Linked DNA regions of Tribolium castaneum. The protein of the gene in region 3 purifies or fractionates together with the protein of the main gene of each other region. This does not show direct contact. Links are inferred from orthologs where the notes say so. Each region holds a gene or a part of one and is shown on either strand. Other genes may lie near its edges.

The links.
Region 1: the proteins of Phb1 (region 3) and ER membrane protein complex subunit 2 purify together in Homo sapiens (affinity purification with mass spectrometry; 3 studies listed by BioGRID and IntAct, with this or other methods). This does not show direct contact. The link is inferred for Tribolium castaneum from reciprocal best matches to the Homo sapiens genes PHB1 and EMC2.
Region 2: the proteins of Phb1 (region 3) and calnexin purify together in Homo sapiens (affinity purification with mass spectrometry; 3 studies listed by BioGRID and IntAct, with this or other methods). This does not show direct contact. The link is inferred for Tribolium castaneum from reciprocal best matches to the Homo sapiens genes PHB1 and CANX.

Annotation. Positions count from the first base shown.
Region 1 is NC_087397.1:2,508,796-2,513,885, forward strand, and holds ER membrane protein complex subunit 2, read right to left. Parts: upstream 2,957-5,090; 5' UTR 2,834-2,956; coding exon 2,818-2,833; intron 2,765-2,817; coding exon 2,651-2,764; intron 2,603-2,650; coding exon 2,308-2,602; intron 2,262-2,307; coding exon 1,850-2,261; 3' UTR 1,785-1,849; downstream 1-1,784. Other genes in the region: nonsense-mediated mRNA decay factor SMG5, read right to left, coding at 1-692, 739-809; ND-B16.6 (NADH dehydrogenase [ubiquinone] 1 alpha subcomplex subunit 13), read left to right, coding at 1,233-1,329, 1,405-1,763; zinc finger protein 571, read left to right, coding at 3,413-5,090. UniProt on the Homo sapiens protein: Part of the endoplasmic reticulum membrane protein complex (EMC) that enables the energy-independent insertion into endoplasmic reticulum membranes of newly synthesized membrane proteins.
Region 2 is NC_087402.1:5,188,798-5,195,031, forward strand, and holds calnexin, read right to left. Parts: upstream 4,085-6,234; 5' UTR 3,889-4,084; exon of another isoform or gene 3,884-3,888; intron 3,881-3,883; exon of another isoform or gene 3,786-3,880; intron 3,600-3,785; 5' UTR 3,581-3,599; coding exon 2,354-3,580; intron 1,671-2,353; coding exon 1,530-1,670; intron 1,301-1,529; coding exon 1,160-1,300; intron 1,108-1,159; coding exon 919-1,107; intron 870-918; coding exon 810-869; 3' UTR 310-809; downstream 1-309. Other genes in the region: parathyroid hormone/parathyroid hormone-related peptide receptor, read left to right, coding at 1-309; nSMase (putative neutral sphingomyelinase), read right to left, coding at 4,269-5,060, 5,109-5,292, 5,339-5,512, 5,560-5,591; gem-associated protein 5, read left to right, coding at 6,093-6,234. UniProt on the Homo sapiens protein: Calcium-binding protein that interacts with newly synthesized monoglucosylated glycoproteins in the endoplasmic reticulum. It may act in assisting protein assembly and/or in the retention within the ER of unassembled protein subunits.
Region 3 is NC_087398.1:10,073,415-10,078,898, reverse strand, and holds Phb1 (prohibitin 1), read right to left. Parts: upstream 2,536-5,484; 5' UTR 2,402-2,535; intron 2,250-2,401; 5' UTR 2,244-2,249; coding exon 2,153-2,243; intron 2,098-2,152; coding exon 1,358-2,097; 3' UTR 1,232-1,357; downstream 1-1,231. Other genes in the region: mannose-P-dolichol utilization defect 1 protein homolog, read right to left, coding at 3,658-4,292, 4,340-4,439; uncharacterized protein LOC103312918, read left to right, coding at 5,010-5,076, 5,130-5,154, 5,207-5,263, 5,309-5,399, 5,446-5,484; slv (sugar transporter SWEET1), read right to left, coding at 4,545-4,848.

The DNA.
Region 1 (5,090 bases), on a different chromosome or scaffold from region 3:
ATTTCGAGTTTTTATCGAAAAGACTGTGCAAATTATTCGTTGTCCCGTCGAAAGAAACAGGACACGCCAGGCAACGCATGTAGTGGTAAACCGCGTCTAGAAATTTGTTCTGGTTCATTGCTAAAGTCCCCATTTGATTGTGGGGCATGCCGTGGTCGGGTTTGAACGAAATGGCTTGTAGGTAATAGCGGAAAGCTAGAGTCGCCCCAATTTTGGGGTCAATCTCGAGTTTGTATCGACTCAAATCGCCTAAATAAATCAAACATTGGTGTACTGAAAGGTTCGCCCACTCGAGACACTCCGTTCTGGCGTCGCCCTTGCCGAAGGCGCCCCCCATTGAAAAATCGATGACATGAGTCAGATTTAAATTAAATTCGCACTGCAGTTTGGATATCATGTGGTGGTAGAAGCCAATGCCGGAATTAACATGTGCCAGTAAATTGCAAATTTCGTTCTGGGTGTATTCCTTCTTTTTGAGTTTTTTCGCGGTGGAAACGACGTCATAATAGCCTTTGCGCCACAGTAACTCCTCTCCTTTTTTTCCATACAGGACGGGGTCGGAAAAAATCAACCGTTCGCAGAACTCGCAGAATTTCCGCCGTTGGATTTGCAAGTTGGGGGTGAATAGGTCGCTGATGGTCCGGGCGCAGCTGCGAGCGTCATCTAAACGTTTTGCCTGCTCGGTTGTAGATCTACAAAAGGGGGCTAGACATGTGCAGGGCCACGGGCTGTACCCACCTGTACAACTTTTTAGACTGCTCAAGGCCCTGCTTTTGGTGGATATCGGTAGAATTTTTAACCTTCTTCATTTCAACTCATGTTGCTACCCCGGTCAAGAATTGAACAAACTTCCTTTGAACTCGATTAGTGATTCCAAATACCGAACGGCCACACAACTCATTTTTCTATCATGGTTAATTTCACAAATATGTTTTGACACCATCACAATTTCTTATCAAATCGTCAAATATGTCCATTGCCACATGATTTTGAGAAATTTTACGCCGCCATCTAGCGGCACGGAAAATTTGGTCGCGTAAAACAGCCAAACCATCGACTCAATTTAACCAAAATTCGCCCCCAAACTATATTTTAATGCGGGCGTTTCGTCACAGTTAAAATTTTTAGCAAAAATAATGAAACACTGCGCAATTAGCTAAGTCGAAGTACAGGAAACTGTACCCAAATCAATAGATGTCGCCCTGCCAAACAGCTGTTTGTTGTCAATAAAAATGGCCACGGCTGCGGCAAAAAAGCAGGATATGCCCCCGTCTGGGGGCTACAGGCCCATAAACTTCAAGAGAGTCCCCGCAAGATCGTACTTCAGCGGTAGGTCATTGCTCTTTTAGTGCCACTTCCACTAAACGTGCTTTACTGTTATGTAATAATTTAACCCCACTTTAGGTTGGGCCCTTTTCGGGGGCTATCTCGGAATGACCGCAGCCGCAAGCTACCTCTACTACTTGAACTGTAAACAAGTGCAAGCTAACGAAATTGAGATGAGGTCCGGTCGTTTCGCTATTTTCCCCTTGTTGCTTGCGGAGCGAGACCGCGAATACTTGAAACAGTTGAGGCGAAATCGGGACGAGGAAGCCAAGTTGATGGCGAATGTTGAGGGATGGGAAGTCGGGACGTATTACGGAGAGCCCTTGTTTAAATCGTTTGATAAGGACAAGTTGATTGAACCCATGATGCAAGGGTATTACGTGCATGCCCCCATGAAGGACTTCAGAGATAGGGCTTATATCAGACAGTGGTCGTAAGGCATTGTTGGTTGTAGTAAATTCATTTTTTGTTAATATATTTGGGAAAACGTGCTGTATTTTTAATACCCTTACAAGTGTTATTCCTAATTAATTTGCAATGCCCCAAGCCTATCCTCAATATCGTCAATGTTGGAGTGTTTGTACTGGTTTTGAATCTCGTTCAGTGCCCACTCTGACAGCTTCTGCGCCTCTTTCTTCTTCTGTGATGAACATTTTGCTGAAGTGGCAATAGCAGTAGTCGCAATGTAAAGGCCGTAAAGGGCTCTCACGTTTTTCGGATTCAGTTTAATCGCTTGGCAGTAGTAAGAGCGCGCTAATTCAATGTTTTCCAAACCACCTTGCGTGTACTTTATATCGGCGTAACGCTGATGCAATAAGTGATTGTGGGGGTTGTGTAAAATCAATTCTTCCACGCAAAAAGCGGCCTTTTGGAAATCCTGCTCAGTTATGTAAAGTTCACTGAGCTCCTGCCAGGCCTCACCGTCGGCCATAAAACTACAAAAAATGTTAATCACAGTGTTTTTCGCCATGAAATAATTACATTTTCAAATAGTCTGCCAGTTCTTTGATCGCCTCAACGGTCTTGCCCTGGGCTTTCAGAATTGCAATTTTGCGTTTTTTGGCACCACTGTTGGTCTCATCGACTTTGATTATGTCGTCCAAGATTTTAATAGCGTCTTCGTACTTTTCCTGGGCTTCAAAAAGCATGGCCTCGTATTTTCTCACCCTTAGACTATTGGGGAAATCTTTATGCAACTCCTTGAGGCATTTTTTAGCGATAGTGAACTCGTTGCAGTCGAGAGCAGCTATGCAAACTTGCTCTAAAATTAGGGCTTCTGAAATGTGCAATGTTTAATGTTTGGTAGAGATTAAAAATGTCGTACTTTCTCTCCCCAACTTTTGAATATTTGATTCGAGTTCGGTGATCCAATATTCGACGATTTTGCGACTTTTACGGTCGTTGTTCTCTCGCCAAAGTCGTAATCTTTCAAGAATACCTACAATTTGCAATATTGCTGATTTATTGATTTTTAAATCAGGTAATACGAACTGTTTAAGTTTGCCATGATGCTTAATCGCTGGAAGTTCTTCAATTACGATAAAATCGTTACTCTAACATTTCTAAATGATCAATTATATCTTAATTATTCGAGTTGTTTTAATGAACACACGTCACTTTTTGATTTATTCGACAGTCAGTGTCGGCAACCGCTCGGCACTTCTGTGAAAACCCTAGTTCTTTGTCAATCATGATGGCTGACTGAAATTTCTTGGTTTACTGATTAAAATCTCAAAAAACTTTAATTTTTCGGAAAATTGGTGTATCTGCCGCCTCCTCAAAATGCCGTTTTAACCCGGAAAAGGTGAGTCTTTTGAAAAATCAATCCCCCGTCTCGCAATACCAAGAAACTGGTTCTTATGTTTTGTGATATTTTTTGTTTATTCGCTCGAAAATATCAGTAATTCGCTTATCGCTCCAAAAGCCAGCAAGGCCCCACGTTCGAAAAAGGCTTAAACCGCGTTATCTCCTCTGATTTAGCCGTTGTTGAGTTCTCATCATTGATTTTGTTATAACAGATCAATAACCTAGTCAGAGGAGTGTACAGCTGAGCAACTTGTGTGAATTCCAATCAGTTGCAATAAAAATGGACACGAGCAACATATCCTGTCCTGTCTGTACATTGTATCTCAGACCGGGCATAACCCTAAAGACCCACTTGAGCAGCCATCCCAAGCAGAAGGTGATCGAGGCTCTGGTCCGGCTGTCGGAGACCGGAGATGTGGAAAAAATCGGCAACCCCTCCTCCCAGCCCGACCCTGGCGCCTCCACCACCCACACCGCCGTGGTGAACCAGAGCTGGAACCAGGGCGGCTTGGTCAACATGCCCCCCCTGCAGGGCAACCACGTCTTCATCTACCAGCAGAGCATGAGCAGCACGACCGCCTCGCCCCAAAACGTGCCATCGCAATACGTCATTCCCACGATTTTGAACCCGCAAATGATGCCCTACATCTACCAGCAACAGCTGATCATGTCAAGCGGCTCCTGTGTTTCCCCCATGCGGACGCTGCCGTTTGAGTTGCCGTCGACGTCGTCACAGGACTGCAGCATCACGGAGGAGCCCGAGAACGAACGCGACTCGCCGAAGAAAATCGAGGAGATTGACGAAGATGCGAGCGAGACGCTGAGTGATTCGATTAAAATCGACTGCGATATGCAGGAGCAGATCAATAATAGTTTGGATTTGAATGTGTATGAAATTGAGGAGGGTTTTAACGCACAGGAAGGGCCCCCGAGTCCGGACTCCGAGAGCGGCGAGTTGAATAAAGCCTGTCAGACGCAGAACAACAACTTGACCTCGGAAGAGGACGTTTCGGATGAGACTGAGCCGAAACAGGCCGATTCCGAGTTTTATTTTGTGAACGAGAACGAGAATCCGAATTACACTTCGGTGGAATTGGGCCAGAACCCGATTTACACGGCTTCGAATATTTTGCAGTCTGACCAGCTAGACTTCGTTGATATGAACGGAGTCCAGATGGTAATTAATGATATAAATGAGTTTGCGGGCAATCAGATTATATCTCAGGTTGAAAATTTTGAAGGTATCGCTCCTGACCGGTCGGGAGTTTTAATGACGATCGGCGGGATGGTTGATAGTGCTAAAGATGATTTTCTGGATCAGAGAGATGCGGAAGAGAGCATGTCTCGGGAGAGCTCGAATGTTAACATCCGAGCCGACGAGCGTATGCCCCCGAGGGGCGAGCTCTCCGGTCAGGAGAGTCTAGGGGGCTCCAGTGATATCACCTGGAACCGGGTGCAATATAACGAAGGCAGCTCAGGGATGTCCACCTCGTACGACCTCCTAACGCGCGAAAACTGGGAGGCTTCCGACAGTTCCGACGTCGAAGTGCCCCCCCTTCAAAGTCGCATCCCCTCACACGTGACCTATCCCGAGGAGGACGACGACAGCCCCACTATAGTCAGCTTCACCGGACCTCCTCTCAACTTCAAATGTTCGAAATGTGACGAAGCGTTCAGCTGTCTCAGAGAGAGGAAAGAACACGAGGCGGAAAAACATCCCGAAAAACGCAAACTTAATCGAATCGGCAGCGAACTTGACAAGAAAAAAGTCAAAAAACTCGTCGTTAAACTCAAAACTGAAAAGCCCGAAAGCGAGAACAACTTCGTTTTTACGAACAAACTCAAAATGGAAACTCCAAGCGAAGCGGAAACGCCCGAAGCACAAACCGATCCAATCGCCACAACACCACAAATGCCGACCGAATTGAAATCGGTTTGTCCGATCTGTGGCTGCGTAC
Region 2 (6,234 bases), on a different chromosome or scaffold from region 3:
TTCGTGTTATCGTTCTATGCGCTGGAGGACCAGACGTTTGAAATAATGTGGTTATTTTTTGACCAGACTTTTACAGCGTTTCAAGGACTTTTTGCCAGTTTGGTTTATTGCCTCTTGAACAGCGAGGTTCAGATGGAGATAATGCGAAAATATAACTCTTTCAAGGACCGCAATCGGGAGTTTAAGAGGCGAAGTCGCACGATCTCGCACACGCAACAGATTCCGCTGACTGAAGAGTTGCAAGAAATGCCGCACAACGCGGGGATTAAAGATCAGCTGTGCATTAACAAAACAAGTGATTATTTTTAAGTTTATTTATTGTAGCTTTAGTTCCACACACAATAAACTTAAGTAATTTATTTTCCTCTGAACTATTACATAATCACAGGACATTATAAATATAATATAGAAAAATCGCTGATGCAAATCATGCAATGACATAATACTAGTACGGGCGAATTTGGTCTGGGAAACTGAAGAGCTGCCGGTGAAATGGTACAAATTACCAAAAAATAGTTCCATGTTTTTTATTTTCTGTAATAAATAATCCTCAAATATACAAACGGCTTAATACCTTTCCCTTAAGCCCTCCGTTTGATTATTTACAAATACAGTAAAATGAACCGCTGTCAAATACTTTATTCGAAAACGTAACAACTACAATTATACTATTCTTTCAAAAAGAACAAATTTCCTAAGGAAAAATGGAACGAATAATGTACAGCAAAAAAACAAACAATCGTAAATAAATACAACTGCAGGATTGCATGATGAAAACAGTGCTGGTGCAAGTTATACAAAAATTACTATCACTCCTTACGAACTTTTCGTTTCCTCGCGCCGTCACCTGCACCTTTGGATGACTGTTCCTGCGAGAACATGATAAACCCAATTTTAATTTTAACGACTGAATCTCACCTCTGTTTTTTCCTCTGATTCCTCTTCTTCGTCGGAATCAGGCCCTGAATTCTTTTCTCTATCGTCGTCTTCTGCATTTTCAGCTTCTACTTCATCTTCTTCTTCTTCTTTACCTTCTTCTTCTACAACATCTTCAGTCGTTTCGTCAGTCTTTTTATGTTGCGCTGCTTGTCGAAGCTCCTCTTTCTCCTGTCATTGTCACTTATTAACACCGCAAAATTTAATGCAATAGCCAAAATACCTGAATTTGACTAGCAGAGGATCCAGGCTTGCAGCAAAGGTATAATACAAAAACAACAGGGATGCCTAGTACGATAATGTATACTCCCCAAAGCCAAGGGTAATCATTGGTCAAGGTAGCTAATTTTTGAATTACGCTTTCCTATGTCAAAACAAAGAAAACTATAACTAGCAGTACGAAAATACCTCTTGAATGCAGAAGTAGAGGTACCATATGTAACAACAAACCGGTATGGCGCAATAAACGAAATATAAGAACCACGGTACAGGTTTATAGTTTAACTTTTTCATAAGACGACCCCACAGTGTCCTCTTATTTAGTAAAAAATCACAAATATAATAAAATTCATTTAAATTAAACAGATACTAACCGAATCCTTGGCGATCTTTTGCTTCTTTTTTTCAAAAGTGGCGTCTGCCCAATGGTTCGCAACGGTAATATCGTCGGTAATAATAATATTGTCGAAGAAAATGTCCTTTGACATTGACCATAACTCAAATCCAACAGCGGTCTGAAAAAAGTTATTTGTCCAAAGATAAATTAATCTTGAATGAATTGCAAAAATACAATTCTTTATTTAGGTTTACAAAACATTTTTATCACAATACGAACGCAAATTCGCCAAAATAAGCATAAAAACGATTGGGTGTGGCTAAGTATATATTACTTCCTTAGTTAGCATATCTCACATAGCAACTAAATCCTTTTGTAGTGACACAAACAATTCTTTTTTGCAACATGTTTTGTTGAAGGCAACAATGCAATAATCAAATACGCAGTTTCGGTAAAAATATGGAAATTAAACAACTACAATTCTGCCAAAAACCAAAGATAATAAAAAAAAATCGCAAAAATAAATGTGTCAATTTCAAGTTGGCTCAATTTTATCAAGAGGCAATTCTTTTACCATTTTCTCACTGTCCTAGGCACTCTAAAAAAATTGCTAACAAAATTAGAAGCTCAGAATTTGTTATTTTTGTACAAAGCATATCGAAATATACTTTTCACAAATTCTGGAAACTGGAGAGGAAACTAGAGCTGACAGCCAAATTTTGACTGCAGATTTGTAAACTATGTTCTAATAGTGTACAAAATCAACTGATAAATTTGAACAAGAAGAAAAAATAATGTAAACATATCGGCACCAATAATTACAGTTACATAAACAAGATAATTTTTTAACCATTTACTTACAACAGTCTGCATTTTAAAGGGATGCTTATCTTCGAAGAACTCGGGATTGGGGATCCTCCTGGGCCTCCACTTCCCCTTATAATTAGGATTATCGATAAGCGGCGCCCTCCACTTCCCCTTATAATCGGGATTATTGATAAGTGGGGGCTCCCAAGGCCCACACCCGACAGCATCCTTACAAGCGGGATTATCAATAAGCGGTGGTTCCCACTCCCCGTCCATTTCCGAATCCCAATCTTCTGGTTTCTTTGCATCAGGATCGAAAACATGCGACGGTTCATTATCCAGCCAACCTTCCGGTTTCACCGCTGATTCATCAACAATCTGAGCCGGCGCATCCTCATCCCAATCGTCAGGTTTCACGGCATCTGGGTCAGGGATTTTCTCCCTTTCATCCCAATCCTCAGGTTTCTTGTCATTAGGATCGTCAATTTCTTTCGGAGGATTCACTGCCGGGGTGAAATCCTCAAGCAAACTTCCCGAATTGACCACTTTGTTGTCGATTAGGATCTCGAAGGTGTTGTCAGGGTGCAGGACAAGGGTGAACAAGTGGGGGAGTTTGTCGGAGAAGACTTCCTCAATGCGGTCTTTGGGTTTTTTGCAATGCTTTTCCTCGACGCTCCCGTTGAGAGGGTTGCGGTGCTTGAAGATAAAGTGGAGCTTGTGGTCGTTACCGCACTTGTCGGGGCCGAACATGATCGAGTAGGGGGTTTTATCGTGGAAGTTGTTCAAGTTTTTACTGGCGGAGTCCTGGGTGAGCAGCTTCAAGTAGGCTCCGCCACATTCTTGGCCGTCTTGGAATATTACTTCATATTGCACGATTAATGGTTTAGTATCAAAAATAAACGGTTTTAGGAGAGAGGAGGCAATAGCAGCGTGTTTAGCCTTTGATTTAAGCACTAAACCTTTGTCGCCCACTAGACTGTCTTTTTGGGTTGGTTCAAGTTGCCATTCACCGTCGTATTTTGCGATGTCTTCGGAAATCCCTTCTTTCTTCGCTTGGGATTTTATCCAACGTTTCGCAAACTGGTCTGGATCGTCGAAATGCTCGGCGAAATAGACCTTTTTCGGGTCAAGGGGGCTCGGACTTTCGTAGGGGATATCAATGTGTGATTCTTCCGGTTCTACTTCCACAGTAGCCTCGTCAGAATCGTCCACTTCGTCACATTTTACCGCCGAAAATATCAACAATAACGTGATTACTGCCGGAACGAGACTTCTAAGCATTTTGTGATCATATATTGTCCTGCAAACCAAACCGGGCACTAATTATGTGTCGTGATTACAGGATGACGAAACGGAAGCAGTATTTACTAATATAAGTCAGGGACTAATCCAATTTAAAAAATTAACCTGAAAGGTTAGTGAACGCACTTCCCAATCGATTAGTTACGAAATTACGCCAAATATCGACAAAAACGCACTCTCTTACCCAACTATCGACACGCTATTACTACAAAATGCACAAAAAAGCCGACTTCACGATGAAATAATTAAAATTCTAGAGACCGACAAAATAAAATGACATACCTAACCTCAAAATCCGGAAGTAGTTTTACACAGCACTCTTACAACACTAGCTTCAGCACCACAGTCTTAACTCAAATTGGTGTTTACTTAGGCTGTATTTCATTTATTATCAGATTATTTTTATTGTAGTTCTTGAACACCACGTAATACACCGCATTTATGAAGAGAATAAACACAAATTCGCCGACCAATCAGCGTCAAACAGATGGCAAAGTTGCGCTCAGTTCAAAAATAGGCGGGGAAAAAAAGTACAAACAGTTAAAAAATGAAAACTTTATTCACCAGTGGTACAGAAACGATCACAGTCGTACAAACCAAATAAAAAATGAGCAACAGGTGTTGGTCTTTGATTTAAAATACTGAGCTTGTTTTGGCCCTGATATAATTACAAATCTTTGGCTTTTAATTTCCTCAAAGCTGTCTCCATTCCCAACTTGCCCGCAATCACAGCATGACGTTCGATTTTATTCCAGATAGTTGCCATCATCAAAGTGTAAAACATAAAAAGGGTGATTAAAATTTTCAAAATGTGGTAAATAAAATTCAGATTGTAGCCGAAAGGTAGGTCAGTTGCAAGTGTCGTAACCAGCAACACGATTAAAACGAACGTAAAAAACCAGTACAAATATTTATGGTTATTCAAGCCCCTGAGTGCGTCATCACAGATTTCTATGCTCTCTTCAAGGACAGTTTTCTTCATGTGTTGGTCGCTTTTCAGCGACCTTATCTCGCTCTTTGTGACGATTAAAGTCGCAGCGATTGCTTCATGGTCCGAGTAACTGTACGCACATCCGGGGATTTTGTGTGGTAACGGCAATGTGTAGCTTTTTAAATCGATTTGTAAACTTGAGCCTGGATGATACATGATATAGTCGATTCTTTTGCCAGGAATGTTTTTCTTGAGTAAGGCCACGGGTGTGTAACTATTAGTGAGGCTTTCATTTGTCGCCACACAATTCTGCACCGTTTCTCCAGCTTCACCAAACGCATCTACAAGTCCCGGAACACTCAACATTATCCTGTAGGCTAAATCTCCAGGTTCGGTATTTAAGTCCCCGGCCAGGACTACTAGGTCGGCGTCTCCAGACGTCATTTGGATAAATTGAGCGGTATCGAAAGATTGGAGCACTCTGTGAGCTTGGTATTCATCACAATTTCGGTCGTATTCTGCGTGCAACTAAAATTATTACTCTTTGTGTTGTTCATCAAGCAAAATAAATCTTACATGTGCAGAGTAGACGTTGACGGTGTAATTGTTCACCTTTAATTTACATAAACCCACGCCCTTTCCACCAAACCAGTCACCATGGTGGATTTTATGAATGTAACCATTTACTGGCCATTGGTGGAAAAAAACGTCCTCCATCGGGTGTCGCGATAAAATACAAACGCCAGAGCCCGTGACTCCGCTACAACTCACCTTTACGCTTGTTTCAACTGAATTTTTGAATTTACCTGTAAAAATAGTGAGAGTATGGTAACACCCCTGAGACTTTGTTTCTGATTAACTGGTAGTCAGAGTCAAGCCATATCTCTTGGAGGCAAACTACATCGTACTGGCTAGTCGCCAACTTCTCAGCTATTGCCTGCATTCGGTGTCTTCGGTTCTTGGAGACCACCGCAAGGCCCCTAAGAATTTTGTGCAATTTTGTAACATAAATCACATGACAGCTTACCAGCAATTCAAAGTAAACACTTTAAACTCCATTATTACAGAAAATGATAGATTTATAGAAGTATTTTTGCGAAATAGATCTAACTTTGTGTTAAAAGAACAGTGACGTGTGACATTACTGTTGACATTTTTCCTGCATGGCCACGTGACAGTTGTCAAACGTCCAACAGCGTAAGTTAAAAGGGTGGCGAAACATTAAATAAATTAAATCGACTCGCAAAAATTACCAGAATGTAACAAATAATCAGGTAACGACCAATAACTTTTTTCGGTAATTTTTGGATGAGTTAAGCTTTAATTTGTAACAGAACTTGGCTGTAGAAAACGAGAATGGTGGGAAATGGTGGAAATGCGTGCAGGGATTGTCTGGTCGACTGTAATGTTTATGGTGCTAACTTCAATTAATTTCGGACGGGTGAACATTCTCCGGTTCAGACGTCTTGTTCAGTGCACAAACTCGCCCAACCACATGTGAAAATAACGTGTAAATGCGTTTTAAAAGTTACTTGTTCAGTTGTTGAATAATTTGGTGAGATGAACGAGTTAGCTGTTCCTCCTGCGCCCCTTTGGTACAGGAGTTCAGTGTTGGCGTGTGCCCCTGACAATACCTTGGTGTATGGCGCAAAAAGCGATATTGTTATCGTTAGGGAAAAAGGCCCCGAAGAACCGGCCGAAG
Region 3 (5,484 bases):
AAAATCTGTGGATATTCAGATGAGCTACTGCCAGTTTTTTTCAATAAAATTTTTACTAGGGCACCAAGTAAGGTCGTTTAAAAAACAAGGTTTATTTATTGCCTGATTTTAATGTTTACAATAGCCATTCAATAAAATTATTGAATGAGTCCAAAAATTCAAAGTGATTGGTTGCTAACGTTATTATAATGGCCGACCATAAATGTACCAATCATATCCGAAAATATAATTTTTCAATGAATCCAAAAATCTAAAGTGATTGGTTTTCTCCGTAATTTTAATGGCCGACCCCAAACCGTCCAATCAAAATGCTTACAAATTTTACAACAATCTTTACGTGGCTTACGTTAATTCATAAAACATGAGTCTGTCTTTGTTGCCTGTCACATCTTCAGTCTTTCATGAATTCACCCTCAGAGGTAATCTTGGACGATCTACTAGATGAAAATGCAAAAATTGGGATAATGGGAGGAAATAAATAAGGAATATTATATTGAAGCTCTTTTATATTTGCTATGAGTTGTAATATCAGTTAAAAAGTTTCAATTGACGAATTCTCGAAATGATCCATGTTGCGCATGCGCGCGCTCTTCAGTTTTCCAAATGACATTTCTGGAAAATCTAACAAGAAAGACGAAAAGTTGGTGGAAACTGCCCCAGAATATTCAAAAGTGATGCGAAAGGGGGTCATGGCTTAGGTAAATGGTGTTGTTTCAAAAACGGTGCTTGTGTTTTTTCCAATAATAGTGTCCACATTGTCGGCGTGCGACAAGTCGGAATTTTTTTTTATTATTATATTAAAGCTGATCGAAAATTTGTAAGTAAAAATTGGTATCATGTAAAAAAGAACTTTTTTTCGGCATTTTGATCGTTTTAGAATTGTGATTGGTTACCTACAATCTGTAATGAAAGTAGAGAAAGTTTGACTCAAAGTGAGAATTTCTAGAAAACACAATTTAAGAGGATTTTTCAAATTTTAAAACAACCAACAAGTAGATTGTTGTTTTTTAAGCCGATAAGAAAATCTTTAAAATTACACCTCCACAGAGGTAGACCTAATTGCGATCGAAAAATTGAGTGAACGAGAGACCCCCACATAAAAAATAATCGCCAATTATTTTTTATTAGCCATAAATACTGATAGTTTTCGACAAAGAGGCCCAAAGTATATCCAGATTCGGGGCGGATACTTAATCCGCCTCTGAGAAAACAGGTAAAAAAAACACGAAAATATTTTATAAAATTTATTAACAGTAACAGTATGGCCTTAAATAAGTAAAATAAAATTGGTACATATCCTAGTTCACTCCTAGTCCCGAGTCAAACAAAACACCCGACTCTCTCCCCCTTTAAGCCCTTAATTCGAGGGCGTAGGCACATTGAGCAACAGATTTTGCCCCCCTGGCAAATACGACACTTGCCTCGACCTCGACAATTGATACGCGATATCCTCCGCAGCCTCAATCCTCCTCAACTCCACCAACCCCTCTCCGGCATCCCCAAACGCCTTCGCCAGCAACGTAGCCGCCTGAGCATCCCCTTCTGCCGAAATCACCGCCGCCTTCTTATTCTGCTCCGCCTTCTCCACCAAAAACCTGGCCTTCTCCGCCTCCTGCTGCGCCACCTGCTTCAGCTCCACCGCAAGAGTAAACTCCCGTCCAAACGTCAAATGCGTGATGGAAATATCGTCCAGGATGACCCCAAACTGCGACGCCCTCTCCGTGAGGTCCTCGCTGACCTTCTGCGAGACGAGGTCACGCTGTGTGATGAGCTCCCCGGCGTCGAACTGCGCCACCACGGCCTTGAGCACCTCGGTGGTGATGGAAGGGAGGACGCGCTCTTCGTAGTCCTGCCCCAGGACGGTGTAAATGCGCGGGAGTTGGTCGGGGACGGGGCGGAACAGGATACGGAGGGTGATGTTGACGTTCTGCAAGTCCTTGCTGCCGGTGATGACCGGGACGTTGCGGGGGCGCGACCGCACGTCGAAGATGATGGGGCGTTGCACCCAGGGGATGAAGAAGTGGGTGCCTTCGCCAATCACTTGCTTCTTGATGCCGGAGAAACGGTCGAAGATCACGGCACGGTGACCACCATCGACTATCAATTAATTAATTGAGCACCAACACAAACACAATTTTTTGCTAATTTTTACCATTGTATAACGCCGAATTGACCACGCCGCCTACCAGAGCTACTCCAAGGCCAAACTGTCCAATCCTGTTGAATAATTGCGCCGCAGACATTGTTTACTTGAAAAAAAGGACTGAATGTAATGTGTGCAGGATGTAAGGTTATGTCGGATCAGTTTGGCTCATTACGCATAAAAAGCCACGTTTGGTATAAAAAACGTAATCAATATGAAAACACAACGTTGGCTAATACATTAAATATGATAAATTACCTGTAATTAACTGCAAAATGTAATAAATCAGCCGGCAAACTCACGAGTTGCTCTTTGAACAAAATGGAAGAATTGGATTTGACATTTGACAGCGTAATTGGTGACTTTACACCAACTTTGTGGAAGAAAATAACTACATTTTGAATTTTTTTATTCGTAAACTTTGAATTACATTACTAAAACCACGTAAATATCGATTCTTAACATTAATAAAGATTGAAAAAAGCATCAGAAACTTCAAATATTTAATCTTTTGCCGTCATTGTAAGAAAACAATGGTTTCTTCAGATGCCCTCTGATACCAACATTGCTAATGAAAATAACCACATTTTGAAATGTTTATTCCATTTTTTAAAAATAATATCAAAAATAGTTTTTATAATTAATTAAATTGTAGCAAATCATAAGTACAACACCACATATTTATGTTTCTTTAATTGCTATAAGAATTGATTTATTGTTTGAAAAAGTTAGTTGAATTTTTAAAACGTAATAAAAACTGTATTTTATTTTTTTTTAAACTCTCGACTCTGTAACATGTGAAGAACGACATTATTTAATCCACTAGGGTGGTATTTTTTTCAATAAAGTAATTAATTTTCATAAAAAACGTAATTTTTTTTTAATCTCTATAACACTTTTTCTCAAAAAAGTTGGCATTATTTCATCAAGATTTAACTCATTATTTGGCCCGTGTAAAAATTCACTCCGCCACGCAACCACTTTATTTTTAAATTGAGTATTTTTTGCAAATTAAAAAAAATGTAGTTATGCAACCAATATTGCAAGCCAATATTGCTAGCCCAAGCTCTAGAGGATTATTTAATTCAACAAATAACCACTTATTTTCACACTGAAATGGAAACTCGACTTGATATCTAAATTTTTACGTCAGAATCAACAGTTTAAATTTCCAACCACAAACAAAAAATTAAATTTTGTAAACAAATTACGATAAAAAGTCTATTTTACCTTTTTATCTGTTTTATAAGTTTATCTGAATGACGCTTAGTAAAGAATAAAGAGAATTACAGTTGAGAATTCTGAGAGCTACGGGTTCTGCTAAATAAAACTACCCACTTCTGTTTAATTACCATTTTTATTTTTCCCAAACAGTCGTTTAATAATCAAAGACTTACACGTTAACAGGGAATGATAAACTGCAACATTTGTACACGAATTTAACAGTCTCATCAACTGGTGATATTTTACACTAAAAATTGAAACTTATGCACATTTTTTTAATCCCTAAATCCCTAGTGAGCCTTTTCTTTTTGTGGTGTTACGTTCCAGTAATAGAGCAACTGCGCTACCAGCACCCCATTGGCAAGAGTGCTAGCAATATAGGTCAGAATGACCATCTTGTCCCCCGTCTCCTGAATCGAGGTGAAAATCCTGGCTAGAGACCCCATAAATAACATAATCAAAGTAGCCGCTGACAATTGACCTGTAGTTCCATTTTTGTAATTACTATAAGCTTGTGTCAACTTCCCGCTAACAACAATGAAAATGTTAAAACCTTGCAATGTCCATAAGACACTGATAGGGGTCAAGCCACTCATTAGAATGAAATTGACTAACAAATAAGCAACTAAATATAGAAGTGCTTTTGAGCTAGAACCCCCATAATGGAGCACCAAAACCCCAACAAGGACTGTCTGTATCGCAAGAAAGGCGGCATCGCCCCACGCACTGAACGGGAACTGTTTGAGGAAACTATAAGATGCGTAAATCGTTATTGCAGTCAAGTCCAAAGTAACACTGAGCAAACTGATGCCCTCCCCGCTTTTATTCTTGTAAATTTTGATGATTTGGGGCAGTTTTACCAAAAGTGAGCCCATAATTATGCCTAGACCTAGGCATTTGCTCAAAGTTGAAGAAAAACACGGCCCTGAAAGCACAAGTCAAGTGCATTATAACCTCACTTTTTGTACTCACCATCGAAAAAATTCAAATGAATGAAATAATTATCGTAACAGTGGGGCGTAAAAACCAATAAAAGGACTTGTCGAATGAATTCGAGCGGTTGTGAGCCCATTTTTTGTGTCTTCTTTAAAATGATGACACGTCAAGGACCGTGGTGAGGTTATGTCACGCCACTAGTGTTATTATCTGTGATTTGAGGCGATAAGAACTGAGATATTTAAATTAAATAAACGTCGTTCTCATCGTTTGCTACTGTGTTTGATAAAAAGCCACTTAATTTATGACTTTGACTTAATTTCAAATTAATGACAAATCCATAACGCACAAAATTCATAACGTAGGAATTGATAGTTTGGTGACAGTAGCGCGAAAATTCAAACGTCAAGATGAGTGTCCCCCCATCAAACGAAGACTCAGTTACTGAAATATACATTTCGCCAAAAAGCAGACGTAAGGTTTGGGATGCGGATTCCGAATCAAGGTTTTTCTTCCAGGCGGCACCTGCTCCCCAGCCGAAACCCCTAAAACATCATGTTTATTTTCCGCGAGAATCGGCTTTGCACACATTTGCGGTAGCTAATTGTTGAAATGCGGGTACATAAAGTGTGTAATTGTGTCTTTTAGTCTTTTTCGGTCGATACAGCAGCCACTCCAACCGCCTCCGTCCAGACTGTGAATCGGGATGATGGGCTCATTTCAATCAACAGAGACGAAATTCCAGCGTTTGAATGTATCAGAAATAAAAATAAGTTTGTTCGGGGAACTTTTGCAATTTTGATTTGTCATTTTTTGATCATTTTAGCGCTTCTCCTGCTGATGCGATTTCTGTACGTACCTATAGGTATTAAGTATCATAAAAATTGCAATCACTTTTTTCAGACCACCAGTTCGGTCATTTGTTTACAAAAACAGGACTATTTTAATTATAATTTTTTTGTGAGTATTGTCGGATCGAAATCCGGCATTTTATTACCGTTTTAGAATGAATTATTTGGGTCTTGAGGTGATACTGGTTTGTAGTGCCAAACTGAGACGTTATTTCCCAGTTAATTGTATCCTTTTCCTCCTATTCGTAAGTATCATTTCGACTGTAAAATAAGTTTTTTCATCTTTTTCAGACATTTTCTGTAGGAACGACTCTAGTTTCATTCGCGGTT